Linked DNA regions of Struthio camelus. The protein of the gene in region 1 purifies or fractionates together with the protein of each later gene. This does not show direct contact. Links are inferred from orthologs where the notes say so. Each region holds a gene or a part of one and is shown on either strand. Other genes may lie near its edges.

Region 1 (7,326 bases):
CATTTCTTTTAAAGGAAACGGTCATCATGTAGGTTTGAGATCATTTAGAAAAGTCACCCACAAAACAGTAACTGAATCTCAGCCGAGACTGATGATAGTACTGCTGATCTGTAATTCAGTTAAATCTTTAAGAAAGATGTAAGACTTAAATAATTTAAAGCCTTATGGTTAATCAACCATGTCCCTTATTAAAGGTTTTCTGTTGGTTATCATTGCCACTGAAAATGCCATTCTATTTTATTTCATTTTTTAATCCATAGGGTCGCGTTATGCCTTTGTTCAGTATATTAAAGTCTTTTGCTATCAGAAATCTTTTTCTTTTATAATGACTTACAGAGCATGATCAAGTCACTCTATTCATCTTCCCAAACAGCGAAATTAAATTGAGCTGTTTTAGGTACCTCGCAATTAGGTTTGGCTCTGTCATGTAGTACTTATCTGTTGCCTTTCTTTTTTTCTTTATGAATGACCAGGCTGTATAGTATTCAGACAGAAGTCATACTATATTAGGCCAACAGTTATCTTTAACCACCAAACTTACATTGCTATAAAAGGATATGTAGTTCTTTTAATAAGATCTTCTTCTTTAAATCAAATAGCTTTTTTTTTTTTTTTTTTTTTTTTTAAGCAGAGTACATCCTGTATCAGTTACATTGTGATTTTGCCAAATCAGTATTAAGTTAACTGGCTTAGAGCCACCTGGATGATCCCATTTCCTTTTAAAATACTTTTGAAATAAAAGTATTTGCTGATCTTCTGGAATACTCTGAGAACTCCAAAGGTGTTTTGAAAAGAAAGCCCATTGCTTCCATCTGCTTGCCAGACAATTTTAAAATTCTTGGTTGTAAGATTCTAGCTATGCAAGTTTTAGGATGTTTTATTTAATAGGTAGAACTAAACATTCTCCTCAGTCTCATTAGCAACAGATAATATTTCATTATGTCTCTCTCAGATTTGTCTGTCATCCAACTTCCTTCTTAATATAGAATATAATTGAGCTACTGCCTCTCTTCTGCATTGTTACTGGTATTTTATCATCTTTATATCTAGTAAAGGATATATATATCACATCTAGGATTTTCTTCTAGCCAATATTTTGCAGGTAATATACCTGAGAGCAGCCCAAGTTTACTAGTACATTTCAGAGCACAGCAGGAAATTGCTTAGTTCTGTGTTTCCTATTCAACAAGATAGGTACCTGTTTAATCTTTTCAGGTAGCACAGACTAAATCTGTGCGCATGGTTTCTTGTTTCTGTAGAGTAGGGCATCCCCTGCCTTACAAAGTATTAGAGAGAGGTAGTGACATGGTCCAACAAACATTTTCATTTCATGGAGTGTCTATGTAATGAATGAAAAAAAAAAAAACTGCAAGAAAAGAAATGATGATTCCAAAGAACTAGAGGCTGCACCTAGTTTTGCTACTGAACTAGGGTATGTTTTTGGAATGTCTGGACACAGCCATAATATGGAGCCATTTGTGTCCTTTTTCATATTTAAAATTAACCAACCAACTTGGGGGGCAAATGCTCCAGATGAATTGTTTGGTGTTTGTGAGAAAGGCGGGTGTGTACGTCTAGTCTTCCCTGCAGAGAGAGAAATATAGAGCAGGGACCTCTGAACTGAGAACGTGAGAGAGTGAGAAGGGTCGAATATGTACCTCTGCAGCAAAAAGGGAAGCAAACAGGCTCTGGAGCTGTAGGCCTCCTTTTGGGGTGTGCATAAAGATCCCTCTGAAGTAGTGGCCTTCACTTGTGGTCCTTGGACTACTTTTAAGAGGTCTGTGAAAGGTAACTGAAAAGCTACAGGCTTAAGTTTGTTATGCAGATGTTTACATTTCCAGGAAAAATGTGCAGGCACCTGTAGACGAATAAAAGTTGAGAACCACTTTTCTAGACTATGTCAGTAGGATAGGCTGTTTAGTTTCCCTGCCTGAGATGCATAGGCCTGCTGGGAAGCACACCCACCACTCATCAGTCAAGCCTTCATGCAAACTAGGAGGCCTTTGCTGCTCTAACCATAGGATGTAATTGAAGTAGCAAATCCCAATATGCTTCTGGGGTGAAAAAAGAGTAGTAACTGTTGGGGTTAGCGTATGTGGCTTTGTTACTAAAATAGTTACCCAGGTATTAATACTATAAGGCTGGCCTCATATGCCTCTGCAGCATATTCCGGTTTAGGGTAATATCCTCCTGTGAAATCACATGTCCATGCTAGTAAAACTAGTTCGTAAAACTATTTCCACTGGAGAGGAGGGAAAAAAACAAAACACACCCCTCACCCAAATAGCTAGCGCAGTAACATTTCAGCTGCAGATCAGGATGCTTTTTGAATCTTGACAGGTATACCTCTCCATGAACCTCAGTGCTTCAGCTTTTTCAAGGAGGCAAACAGAGAGACAGCAAACTTTTCTAGATTCAGAGTCCAGAAACTAATTTTTACTGGATCGGAAGCATTTCTACTGGCTGTCAGACCATACACGTATGCTAAACTGCCTCTCCTCTTTCCTTTCCACTTTCACAGTGGCAGTTAATGAGGTTAAAGATCTATTTGTAAATTTTTCTACAGTTTCCTATAGACCAGATGGAGTCATTTACTCCATTTCAGTAGTCTAGTGTGTTTTGCCATCTTGCTAGCTGTGGCTCAGAGGGTTAAGATGGGAGTGCCGAGTGATCTCTTAACAAAAAGAGGTGACGTCCAAGAATGCCTAGTTCTTAACATCAGCTCCATCCAGCCTGGTAGTTCCAAGCAGGATGCATTTTGGGGTTTCTGGATTAGGACTGTGGAGGGGTATAGGAAGCAGATGTCATGCAGTAGCCACATCCTTCCCCTTAATTACGAGTTTAAGGCAATTTATACAAGAATGTGGAAATACTTTTAAGAAAAAAGGTGTAGTGAGGCTTAACAATAACGTTCAGCTTAATTGAAACCAACTGCACCACAAGGGAACTGGAAAGAATCAGAAATAAGTGTTTTAAGTAATTAAATCATAAATAACCTAAATGAGGATATGAGAGATGTAGAGAAGATACAGAGATAGAGAGAGAGAGCGCGATACAGAGAAGTAGAGAAGAATACTGCATCTTTAAAACACAGTGGACCTCTGAATTAACCCAACAAGCAAAATGGTAGATAAAATGAAATGTTTGAATTATAAGTTTCTTGAAGTCTTGCACTGCAGGCTGCTAAAAAACACTTAATCCCAGTATGTCTATGTAAGTAAAGGTCTGGCACACTGGGAGATCTTTGGGAGAAAAGAGCAGAAACAAGCCTGGTCAGTTTTTCCTCATGGCCAGAGTCTAGCAGCAAGGTACCCTGTACAACGACTGTTACTATACAGTCTTATCAGGAGACTCAGAAAAAACAGAACAAGGTAGGCAAGTGGACAGGAGAACAGCAGATGAAATGTTTGCCAAAGGTAAGCTCAATGCCCCATACATGTTATAGCATGCTAAACTAACCTTAATCTCATCAAGTGAAAATCCTGAACATTATAGATCCTAAGTCCAAAAGAATTAAGATAATTTTCATTTTGGCTCCTCTGTAACCACAGTTATGACCTCACCCTCTTTATCTAGCACAATACTATTCCTTGCATGTGCAACCACTAGCAAAAGACGACTTGGCAAAGGGTTTCTGAAGTCTGTAGCGAGGGGATCATTAATCTACGAGCAACTTGTATACAGTTATGAAAGTGGCAACAGCAAAATGCAGAAAAGATGACATGCTCACATGTTTAACTTTCAATTTCATTGGTTTTGTTGATTAGGTACGTTAAATTTGTACCATGATCATTTTACAACAAAGACAGCCTCTGGTTATAACACAGCAGCAGTTGATGCTAGCTGGCCTATTATAAGGTAAATGGGACAATACAGCGCCGTAACAGACGAACGGCACTTCCTCACCCAGATGATCCAGCAGGAGTGCCCAGGCAGGCTCTCGAAAGTTATTCGAAGGCAGGAGACCTCCATCGCCTCCAGAAGACGGGGGCCCGTTTCCTTTAACGGCGGGCTGGAAGAAGCAGGTATTTGCCCTCTCAGAGCAGAGGGCAGTCAGGAAAAGGCTGCATTGAAACCGCTCGCCCCGCGGGCCCTGTCCCTGTCCCTGTCCCCGTCCCTGTCCCCGCCCCCGCCGTTACAGCCGCCGCGCAGCTGCCCCGCGGCCAAGAGGCGGCCACAGCGTCCGGGTCCCTCCCGGCTCCGCTCCCCGCAGCGCCCAAAATGGCGGCCGAAGCCGAGCGGAAGCGCGCCTATAAAGAAGGGCGGAAGCGGACTCCGCCACGGGGAGGGGGAAGGGGGGCGTTTCCGGGGCGGGCAGCGGCCTGCCCGGAAGTGCCTGCGTGCGCGGGGCCCAAGATGGCGGCCGGGATGTACCTGGAGCACTACCTGGATAGTAAGAGCCCCGGGGGGCGGGGCCGCGGGCGGCGGCTGGGGCCGCCCCGGCTGGAGGCCGCGGGGGCACGGACGGGCCGTGCCCGGGGGCGGGGCCCCGAGCTCTGCGCCGGGGCGGACCGGGCCCCGGAGCGCCCGCGGCCGGGCGGCGGCCTTGTCCCGGTTTCACCCGCGGGCCTTGCTGCGGGGAGACCCCGGCCCGCCCGCGCGGACACGGCGGCGGCGGCGGCGGCCCGCCCGGGCAGGGCGCGGGCTGCCCCTCCGCCGTGGGGCGGGGCGTGGCCGGGGCTGCCGCGCCCGCCGGTGCGCCGCCGGCAGCGCCTGGTTTGTCAGTGGGGAAAGGACTGAGGGGCTGTTTTGCGCCGCTCTTCAGGAGCGGCCGCTTGAGCGTCCCCTTGGACACACGGTGCCGTAGCAGCGGTGAGATGGAGCGGAGGGTGACCGCTGTGTCTGTGGGGACATCGTTTCATCGGCTTCCTTTGTTTATGGTGGTTTTAAAGGCGCGGTCTCGTTTACGCGGGTCGAAGAAGAGCTGTATGCGTGCTCATGGCGTTGGTAGCATTCCCCGAGCTGTCCCGTGGTATCGTCTTGCTTTAAGTTGCTTATAACTTTGTCAGACTCTGCCTTTTGGGGGATAATGCTCTGAATGCTTTTTTTCTACTTATTCTTAAAAATGGTCAAATAGGTGAACTGGGTTGGTTGTTCCTGAAGAAATTTGGTGACCTGTTCTTTGATGAACCTTATTTTCACTTTTTCTTTCTGACCTGGTCCTTAGGCACCAGCAAGGGTAGTGACCGGCAGCATTTTAAAAGCATAGAAGTACTTGCAGTGTGTCTTTTACTTCATGTTCTATGGCCAAGTTGAATGTCTTGTCATCTGTCTGCATATGATTGGAAACTTCAGAGCTTTCAGCTTGATTCTTCAGAAATCCAAGCTACACTAGGCTTCCCCCAGCACAGAGTTGCCATGAGGAAACAGGCTAATATGGTGTTGAAATGGAAACCAAGGGTTCATTCCCATGTTCCTTCAGTGCTCCCTTTGTCATTGGGGGGCTGGGGGGAGGGAAGCTATATGTATTAATTTCAGAAAGTTCGAGAATGAGAAGAAATGATACTCTATCATGACAACTGAAGAGAAGAAGCTAGAAATGAACAGGCAAGAACATTGATCTAGGACTGTGAGGAAGAGGGATGCAAAAGGCAGGAAGAAACATTGGATGAGGAGGCAGATTACTAGAGAGGAGCAAGGACTAGCTGAGCAAAGATGTACGTTCTTCTGCTCTTCTCATTGCGTTACGGATGACTGCGCTTGGCTGAGGCTTCTGAGCAAAGATGCCTTGGAGAGGGGAGGATGGGAACAGCTGTGGGCTGCATGAGAGAGAAAAGAAGCAGATGGGACAAGGAGTAAGCGCATAAGGGGGATGTAGCTTTTTCCTAATAGGAAAAAAAATATTTTCTGGGTAAGAGCCTGGAGCGTGAAGATAAAGGAATGAAAAACTGGGATGCAGAACCAGAAGGCAAGGATGAGGAAGATGCAGTATTGAATGTTGAGAGGTATGATAGATATCTGTGGTATAATAAATGCCAAGCTGGGAAGAAAGGAAACTGTACATGAGCTTGGTGGCTAGAGAGTGCGCCCATCAAAGCCAAACACTTGGATCTCATTGTCACTGGCAGCTAAAATCCGTGAAACTGCTGGAACTACTCTGTTCCCCTCTAGGGCAACCATGGAGAGAAAATTACAAGCTGTTATTGTTTTCTCTCAACTAAGATGCGTGTTGCCCTGCAACTGAAGTAGTTTATCATCCTGTTGAATATGGATATCAATGTGGTATTGTGCAATGTCATGCTTTTAAGTGTGTTTTGCTCTAAAAAAAATGCGCGCAATCTAAGTATATTTAAAAAAAAAAAACTGGCTACAATGACATTAGGAAAACTTCCACAGCATTGGCGTAGCCTTTTCTGCATACTGCTAGAGCTCTTAAGGCCATTGTTGATTATTTTGTCTGGTGTCCTACATACAATGTTACTTCCCTTTATTAGATACTTGTAAGACAGTTGTTGCTCTTAAGCTAGAGTTTATCTTTTAGAAAAGCTCATGGTACAGATTTTAATACTTTCAGTCAAAGAGAATCCTTCTCAGTCCTTGGTAAGGTAGTTTGCTGATTAGGCTTCTCTATCATGGTTTTTGACTTTTGTCTCAAGTTAATTTTCGTAGTTCCAGTATTCAACCATTGCACCCATTTTGCCTCTTACCTATCAAGCTGAAGTGTCCCCTCGTAAACAGTTTCTTCCCTGTGTAGATTGTAATTAATTAAATCTTAATTTAGCAAAAAAAAAAAAAATCTCCTGTGATAACATAGTTTTCAATTCTCTAATTAGCCTTGTTGTTCTTCTCTAAGCCTTCTCTAACCTTTTGGCATTCTACTTGAACTTCTGACTCTCTGAAAATGTGTGCAGCCCTTTATTACCAGTCTTCATAGTGCTAACTAAAGAAGTCGGGTTATCATTCTGTTGGGTATACCCTTATCCCTGTTCACCATTGTGTTTCAGCTGGGAGCTCATATTCAGGTAATTATCTACCATGATATTCAAGTCTCACTGCTTCTCAGAAATATGGTCCAGCATCCTGTATCCATCACTCTTATTGTTCACTGCTAAATGTATTACCCTGTGTGAGACTTCATGGAAAGTATGTGTTTCCATTCAGGCTGTATCTTGCTGTCCTATTGGTCTGTTCCTTTCATTCTCGTTTTTCCAGTCTGTTATCTCATTTACAAGTGATCAGGAACTTTTCTTCTGTTGGATCAAGAACTGCTTCATGTGAAATTTGCACAAGTGATGCAGCCACCAGTGATAATTCTCTATAATGCCTTCTAAAGCCTTGTTATAGAACCATTTAAATTCATTTTAATGTATCTTATGTTCATTTTTT
Region 2 (7,910 bases), about 70 Mb from region 1:
CTACCACTGCCTGCCCGTATCAGCCTGAAGTTTAGGAGATTACACTTCATGGATGGGGTATTTTTGCAAAATTTGTCCTGTGCACAGGAGACAGCTGGAAGATATATCTTGGGAAAAGCCATGTAAGTATTGCTTACCAGAGAGTAAAGCATGGGTTCAAAATGCAAAAAGATGGTGAAATAGTACAAATTTAAGGAGCATTGCATTACTGAAGGGATGCCTAGCTGCTGAGCACTGTTAACTTCCCTGGTAGAAAAAAAGAAACTGGAGAAGTGCCAGACTTGTGCCTCAGACACATGAGAGTATGGACACCATCAAGCACTCTGTGGAAAACTTGTCTCCAGCTGTAAAGCATTTGTTCGACTGCAGGACAGATAATACATGTGGATTATCGCTTAAAAGACAGAACGACGTGTTTTCTAGCCTAAATGATTCTTAGTATTAGCTTCTTGACAGTGTTTGTCACCCTACTCATTTTTATCTCAGCCTGCTACTTAAGACTGTACACTAATGTATACGACTTAGTATGCTGCTTCCTCTTTAATATCTTTGTCTCACAATCTGAATTCCTATGCAACTACATTAACTTAAGTCAGCACCTTGTAAGACTTCTTAAACTGACAATGTGCTTATTTAAATGATGTAACCAGAAAGTGATTCCTCACAAGCAGGGTGCAAATAAGCTCCATAGTGCATATATTTTCTTCTTCCCCCCACCCCCCTCAGATGTAAAATTGAAGATGCTTGGCCAATCTGCTCCTAAAGACCTATTTCTTCACTGAGTGCGCTGTACAAACGTTAGCTCTTTTGGTGGATTCTGCTTTGTTAGAAAGCAAGCTGCTGGGTGGTCCCCGATGAGGCAGAAAAATGAGTTAGAAAGTATTTGCACTGCCTATTCCACAGGGTTTCCCTAGCTAAGTTACTTAAGCTCTCTGGACCTTAATTCACTTGCTACAAGTAAATAATGACAGGTGTATCTATGTCTGATTTCCTAGTTATAAACTTACTGTTGGACAAGCTGGTGTTTGAGGCGAGCCAACACTGTAGTACTAGAAACCATGCAAGAGTAAACAGGTAAGTTATTTTGAAGAAAGCTTTAACGAATGTGTGGTTGGTACAGATGGATGAGGAGTACCATGTGTACTCCTCACTGCTTTTCTGTTTAGTGCGTACAGGGCTTGCTCCGTGTGATAGGCAAAGACAAGTGTTTGTCCCGGACTGGGCTAGCTGAAAAGGAGACATTTAAGCATGTGGGTGCAGCTGTCTTACAGAAGCAGATACAGTAAAATCCGCCAAATCTAGACTATGGCTGCAACGGCAGTCTAAAAATAGTACGTAACAAAGGGTGCTCTTTGCATGGAGAGCTAGAAATAACTCGCTTTTGTTTTGTCAAAATGTAAGGATATTGCTGATTGCTTGAAAGCAAAAGCCTGACCTACACGAGTTAACTTGCAAGCTCTGACTTTCCCTAAAGAAATAACTAGTGCCAAATATTGCAGTTTTGAGCCCTGGCTTTCCAACACGCAAGTCCTGTGCTGTTTCCTGCACCCCATTTTGTTGACCGTGAGCTGGGTGTTTCGGCTTTCTCTGTAAGGGCGGACGTGACCGAGCTCGGTCGGCGAGCCCGAGGCAGCCGCGTCGCAACGCGCCGGAACAGGCGTCTCGAAGCAGGCGGAGCGGGGCCGGGCCGGCAGAGACCGGCCTGAGCCGGCGGCGCGGCGCGGCGCGGCTGGGCGCGGGGCCGCGGCGGCCCCTTCCCGCCCTGCGCCCTGAGGCGCAGCGTTGCCGCCTCGCCGCGCGCCCCGCGCCTGCCCGAGCCAGGGCGCGAGGCGGCCCCCTCCCTCCGCGGCCATTGACGGCGGGGCGGGGGCAGCGGCAGCTCGAGGCCCCGCCCCGCAGGGCGGCGCGGCGGCGGCGGCCGGGCTGGGCGGTGCCTGGCGCCCTCACGTCCCTTCCCTCTCCCTCCCCCCCCTTCCCCCCCCCCCCCCCCGTCGGCGCAGCGCTGTGGTGAAGCCGCATTGTTTGTGCCGAGGGGGGAGGGGAGATTCTCAGCCCCGGGAGCTGAGCGCCGAGCCCGCAGCCGGACCGCGACCTGCGCCGTGCCTCACGAATGCGCCGCGCCCGGCTGCAGCCGCAGCCCCCCACCCACCGACGGGTCGCGGCCGCCGGCAGCGCGGCCCTCGCGGCGCCCGCTTGCCCGCCCGGGGCTGCTGGGCGCGGGACCAGGCGGCAGCGCCGGCGGGACCTCCGCCATTAAACCGGCCGCAGCGTCGGCCCGCAGAGGCGGAGCGGGAGGGTCTGTCAGCCGCGCTTTCAGCGGCTCCCATAGCGTGAGTGAAGGCGGGCGGGCGGCGGGCGCCGGGGGCTGCGGGGCCGGGAGCCGGCGGGTGCCGGCGCGGCGAGGCAGAGCCCGCTGGGGGAGCGGGGGGGAAGGGAAAGGCGGGTCGGGCACGGCCAGCGGGGGGGCGCGGGGCGGCTCGGGGCGCAGCGGGCGGGGAGGCTGCGAGGGGGAAGCTGAACGCGGCGGTCTGGGGGAGGGCGCCGCTCGGGCTGTTTTGTCAGCCGCCATATTGGTGGGCCGAGTATTTTCGCGGCGGGGAGGGAGGTGGCTGTTGGGAAGGGCTGGAGATGATGGGCCTGGGCAGGAACCATCCTGGCGGGGGCCGGGAGGGGGGAATGCCGCGGCCGGGCAGGAACCATCGGCGCGGAGGGGTGTGTGCGCGCTGGCGGCTCCCTGGGCGTGGGCAGGAAGTGTTCGCGCAGAAGCCGGCTGTGGGCGGGCCCGTGGGCAGGGCGGCCCCGCGCGCGGGCGCCGTGGGGCGGCGGGGGCGCGCCGGGAGCCGGGGCGAGTGCCTGATCCCGGGAGGCGGGGGAGGGGAGAGCTGCCGGGGCGTCAGTAGCGTCGGCGGCCTCCTTCCCGCACCCCTCACGCTCAGGGGAAAGAGCGGCTGTGGTGATGCCAAGTGGCGTAGCCTACGCCGGGCCGATCGGGCGGGTTACGTGAGCGCTAATTCTCCGCATTCCCCTGAGGGAAATGGTCCTGCTCCGCAGCTGAAACTGAGGGTGGTGTCTTCCCTGTGTGCATGCAAGCAGTGTTTGCTTACCCTCATTGTCTAGGACTAAGGAGCATTCCTGTGTCTTTCTCTTCTTAATGGTCTGCATGAAAGTATCCATTGAGAATGGCATTCTCTTTTCCACGGGACAGGGGATCCAGGCACCAAAGGCGATTGTTTGGAGTGGAGGAGGGTAACTAGGAGAGAGACTGCAAAGGGATTCGTAATCAGAAAGCGTGTGGTGTTATACTTTTCTGTTGGTTTTAGCTATCCTACACCTCAGTAAAAGCTACTTTTGCCTCATACTGCGCATTCCACATAACCAGCTGTCTTCGTGCACTTTTGTTGTGAGGGAAAGTGTCTGCCGATGACTTTTTTTCCCAAGCAGCTGATGTAATTCCAGGAGAGGAAAGCTATGGATAACTTTCCAGTTTTATCTCCTACAGCCTTTGAGTTGTTATAAGAGGCAGAAGAGTGCTAGCAGAAATACGTTATTTGTATTTTCCCATCAGTGTGATATCGCTATTAATGCTGAACAGAAACTGTTATCTGACTTTACTGGTTTTCAAACCTGTGCACGTGGTCTTCATTCCTGTGGATCTGCAGCTTACTACTGAGGGGAGGGAAGAAAGGTGCCTGTGATAAGTAACTCGGAAAAGCAAAGCAGTTTGCCAGCTGTAGATTCATTATGCAGAAACCTGGTCTTCCTCTGGAATATTTTTAGGAAGTTTGTAAATAGGAGTTTTTAAAAAAAATAAAAACACAAAACACAAAATACTTCTTTAACTCCCAGAGCGTTTAAGTTACTCGCACTGAGTTTCTAGAAAATTAGGCCAGAGGAGCACCAATTCCAATTCTGTGTTCATTTCATTATATTTGTAGGGTATACATTTTCCATGTAACTGTGGTTGTAATTTGTTTTCTAGTTTAGTTTTATTTGCAGGTGAATATTACAGAAAAGGTGCTTAGATGCTAGTCCAATCGTTTTTATCTTTCAGGTTCATACAATTTCTTTTATTTGACATTTATGACAGCAGTTATAAGTCCCAGTGCAAGAACTTGTGCTTTAAAATATTTTTTCCTGTTCCTGTTGCCGGGTTGCGTAAGAATTTTGGCAGGGGAACGGTAAGAGGTTGGAAATCTAACATTAATGGATTTTTTTCTATGATACTGGGTTAAGTTACATGGGTAAGTGTGGACAAGAAGCCTATTTTCTGATTTCTGAAGGCTACCTCTCTCATCCCTACCCCATTAATTTGTCAAAACAGTCACTGTCATGATGAATAGTGTGGGTGGTTGCGCATGTTTAGTAGTTGTAGGAAGAGACATTAAGTTCGTCTAGATTTTTAAGAGGGAAACTTTTTTAATGATTTTTTTTTCTTGCTTGTTGATTAAATGAAAGACAAGTATCAAAAAAATCAACAATATAAAGTGACACCGTACTAGTCAGTAGCAGGTTGCTGTACATCAGCACATATATGTTTTTTATTTGAATAATCCCTAATGTTGCTAGGTGTGTATGTTAATAAACAGAAATCAGAGCAAATGTGTTATCTTTGGCCCCTGAATTACAAATTCTGATATGGGAACTTTAATTCCAGATAAATTATCGGTGTATCTTTATTTCTAGTTATTGGACCTTTTATACCACTATTAGTGGTTTAAACTTCTTCAGTCGGTAAGAAATTGGTGTGCTTAACTCGTATCTTGTAGAATTCAGTTAAGTATTTCACCCAAACTTATATGAAGAGAGGTGATCTTTTCTGTTCATCTGTTTATAGAGAGCCGGTGAGAGGCCTGTAATGATTGAACACTGAGTGTCCTTTTTTGTGTCTGTGTTTAGCCTATGAAACATATAATAAGATTTAAGGAATATCCATCTAAAAGCGAGATCTGTAAGTAACACTTGCATGGATAATAAAACTTAGTTTTTTTTTTTTTTTCTCTTCACTTCTCTTTGGGAAAACAAGATCAATCTGTGCAAGCAGATAAAACTAGCTCTTCAGAGGGTCTGATCTAAGGTAGCTACTTAAAATATCTGGTCATCTTTAATGGAGTTCCTGCAGAATTGTGAAGGTACACTTTCAGGGAGATTGACATCATAGACTGAACAAAAGCAAATGCAGGCTGTGGATAATTGATGTATTAATTGTTCCAGTCTTTCCGATTTTCTACATGTGTTAGCTATGGTTCTCTTTCACTGTAATTGTATTTTGGTCTCTGTATTTGTCTATTTGTTGTATGCTAACGCTAGTTGAATTATCTTGGCTACTAAATAGCATTGACTTGAATTGCAGAATTTCTAACTTGATCAGAATTGGAATGGTGAGGCCCTAATACTTTGAGCAAACGGTTAAACATCAGGAGTATTTCTTTTCTGTAGCTGACAGCTATGCTTGCTGTTTATTTATTAGGAATTTATTAGGAAGAAAAGCGAGGGGAATAGAGAACGAACTTATTAGCTTGACTTGATTAATTTGTCTTTTGTCTTATTTTCTTATCTTTCATCTTTCTTGTCTTGTCTTATTTTCAACCCCCAGAAAAGAAAAACATTTTGAAAATGTTGTTCTGAAAAGCAACTTGAAAATGATGTTATTTTATTTTAGAAGAAGCCTTGGGTTTGGATTTAAAGAGAGTGAGATTGTTATCTACCCCAATTGCTCTGAGAACAAATCCTGAAGAATTGGTTGAAAGATAAGGGTGTTTATATGTGTGTTTACACACACACACAAGCACAGTGAATTTTTCAGTATGTTCTAGGTCAAATCTACTTTACGAGTTGAATGTTTCATAATTGTGGTCCATGCTTCAGTGTTTTGCAAGTCAGATTGTGTTCTTGTTCTTTGGTGCATCTCACTGGAGTTTAAAGTCTTAACACTGAATAAGGGTCGTCCTCCTAATGTGGGCCCACTTAAAACAGTAAAATTACATTGATGCTAGTAACTCTCTAGTAATGACAACGAGGTGAGGTGATTCTTAAATATAACACTTAGAGAAACTAGGGAGAGATGAAGAAAACCTGTTGATGTTGAACAAATTTGAAACTACAGACACTCTTTATGAATTGGAAGTTTTGTATTATAGAGACGTTTTCTTACAGTATATCAAAACTGTATTTTTTGGTGGCACTTATGAAATGTTTTCTCTCTGTTACAGAATTGCTACAGTTAGTGTGTATGTAGCACTTATTTTATAATATGAATTCTGTACAGTGGTACTTATGTAAGAAGCTAATATTTAGGAGATCTTACTTTCTGTCGTTAGGTAAAATTTTTCAAAACAGCCTGAGCAGTCCTGTTCAGTAAAGGTGACAGGTTAACTGATCTCTCGGAAATTGGTTAGATAGTTTGGGGGTTATACAACTTTTAAGGGTTTTTTCCTACTAAAATAAAGCTAATATTTTAATGTAAATGTTTGTAGTTCATTGTACTAACTGTTGCTCTTATTGTAGGTAAACATTACCAAATGAGGAGAAAAGGAAGATGTCATCGAGTATCGGCAGCAAGGCATTCTTCTTCCCCATGCAGTATTAAGCACTCCCCCACACGAGAAACCTTGACGTACGCTCAAGCTCAAAGAATGGTTGAAATAGAAATTGAAGGTCGCCTGCATAGGATCAGTATCTTTGATCCGTTAGAGATTATATTAGAAGATGATCTTACAGCCCAGGAAATGAGTGAATGCAACAGCAATAAAGAAAATAGTGAAAGACCACCAGTTTGTCTAAGAAGCAAACGGCATAAAAATAACAAAGTGAAAAAGAAAAATGAAGTTCTTCCAAGCTCACATGGTATACCCGCTACAGCAGCTCCACTTCCAGAACCAAAAGTACGGATTGTTGAATACAGTCCACCTTCTGCTCCTCGGCGACCTCCAGTTTATTATAAATTCATTGAAAAATCAGCAGAAGAACTTGATAATGAAGTTGAGTATGACATGGATGAAGAAGATTATGCATGGTTAGAAATAATAAATGAGAAGCGGAAAAGTGATGGAGTGTCAGTTGTGTCACAAAATATGTTTGAATTCCTTATGGATAGGTTTGAAAAAGAGTCTTATTGTGAGAACCAAAAACAGGGTGATCATCAGTCTTTAATTGATGAAGATGCAGTGTGTTGTATATGCATGGATGGTGAATGTCAGAACAGCAATGTAATCCTATTTTGTGATATGTGTAATTTAGCAGTACATCAGGAATGCTATGGGGTGCCATATATACCTGAGGGCCAGTGGCTCTGCAGACACTGTCTGCAATCCCGTTCTCGGCCTGTAGACTGTGTGCTGTGCCCAAACAAGGGAGGTGCCTTTAAAAAGACTGATGATGATCGATGGGGACATGTTGTGTGTGCTTTGTGGATTCCAGAAGTTGGATTTGCCAATACAGTTTTTATTGAGCCAATTGATGGTGTCAGGAACATTCCCCCCGCCAGATGGAAGTTAACATGCTACCTCTGTAAACAGAAAGGTGTTGGTGCCTGCATCCAGTGCCACAAAGCAAATTGCTATACTGCATTCCATGTGACGTGTGCTCAAAAAGCTGGCCTATATATGAAAATGGAACCTGTGAAAGAACTAACTGGCAGTGGGACAACGTTCTCTGTGAAAAAGACTGCATATTGTGATGTACATACTCCACCAGGTTGCATACGGAGACCTCTAAATATTTATGGAGAAGCTGAAATCAAAAACGGTGTTTGTAGAAAGGAGGGATCAGTCAGAACTGCTAGGTCTACATCAAAAGTCAGAAAAAAGACAAAAAAGGCCAAGAAAACAGTGGTTGAACCCTGTACAGTTATGCCAACAGTATCTGCTCCTTATATCCCCCCCCAGAGGTAAGCAAACCATCCAGCTGAGAGA

What was found. Proteins that work in one complex are often made in the same cells at the same time.
Region 2: the proteins of ING4 (region 1) and BRD1 purify together in Homo sapiens (affinity purification with mass spectrometry; 5 studies listed by BioGRID and IntAct, with this or other methods). This does not show direct contact. The link is inferred for Struthio camelus from reciprocal best matches to the Homo sapiens genes ING4 and BRD1.

The regions. Positions count from the first base shown.
Region 1 is NC_090942.1:90,814,206-90,821,531, forward strand, and holds the start of ING4 (inhibitor of growth protein 4), read left to right. Parts: upstream 1-4,298; 5' UTR 4,299-4,356; coding exon of another isoform or gene 4,357-4,393; intron 4,394-4,660; exon of another isoform or gene 4,661-4,812; intron 4,813-5,856; exon of another isoform or gene 5,857-5,945; intron 5,946-7,326.
Region 2 is NC_090942.1:21,042,287-21,050,196, reverse strand, and holds the start of BRD1 (bromodomain-containing protein 1), read left to right. Parts: upstream 1-4,827; 5' UTR 4,828-4,899; coding exon 4,900-4,948; intron 4,949-6,504; coding exon 6,505-7,885; intron 7,886-7,910. UniProt on the Homo sapiens protein: Scaffold subunit of various histone acetyltransferase (HAT) complexes, such as the MOZ/MORF and HBO1 complexes, that acts as a regulator of hematopoiesis.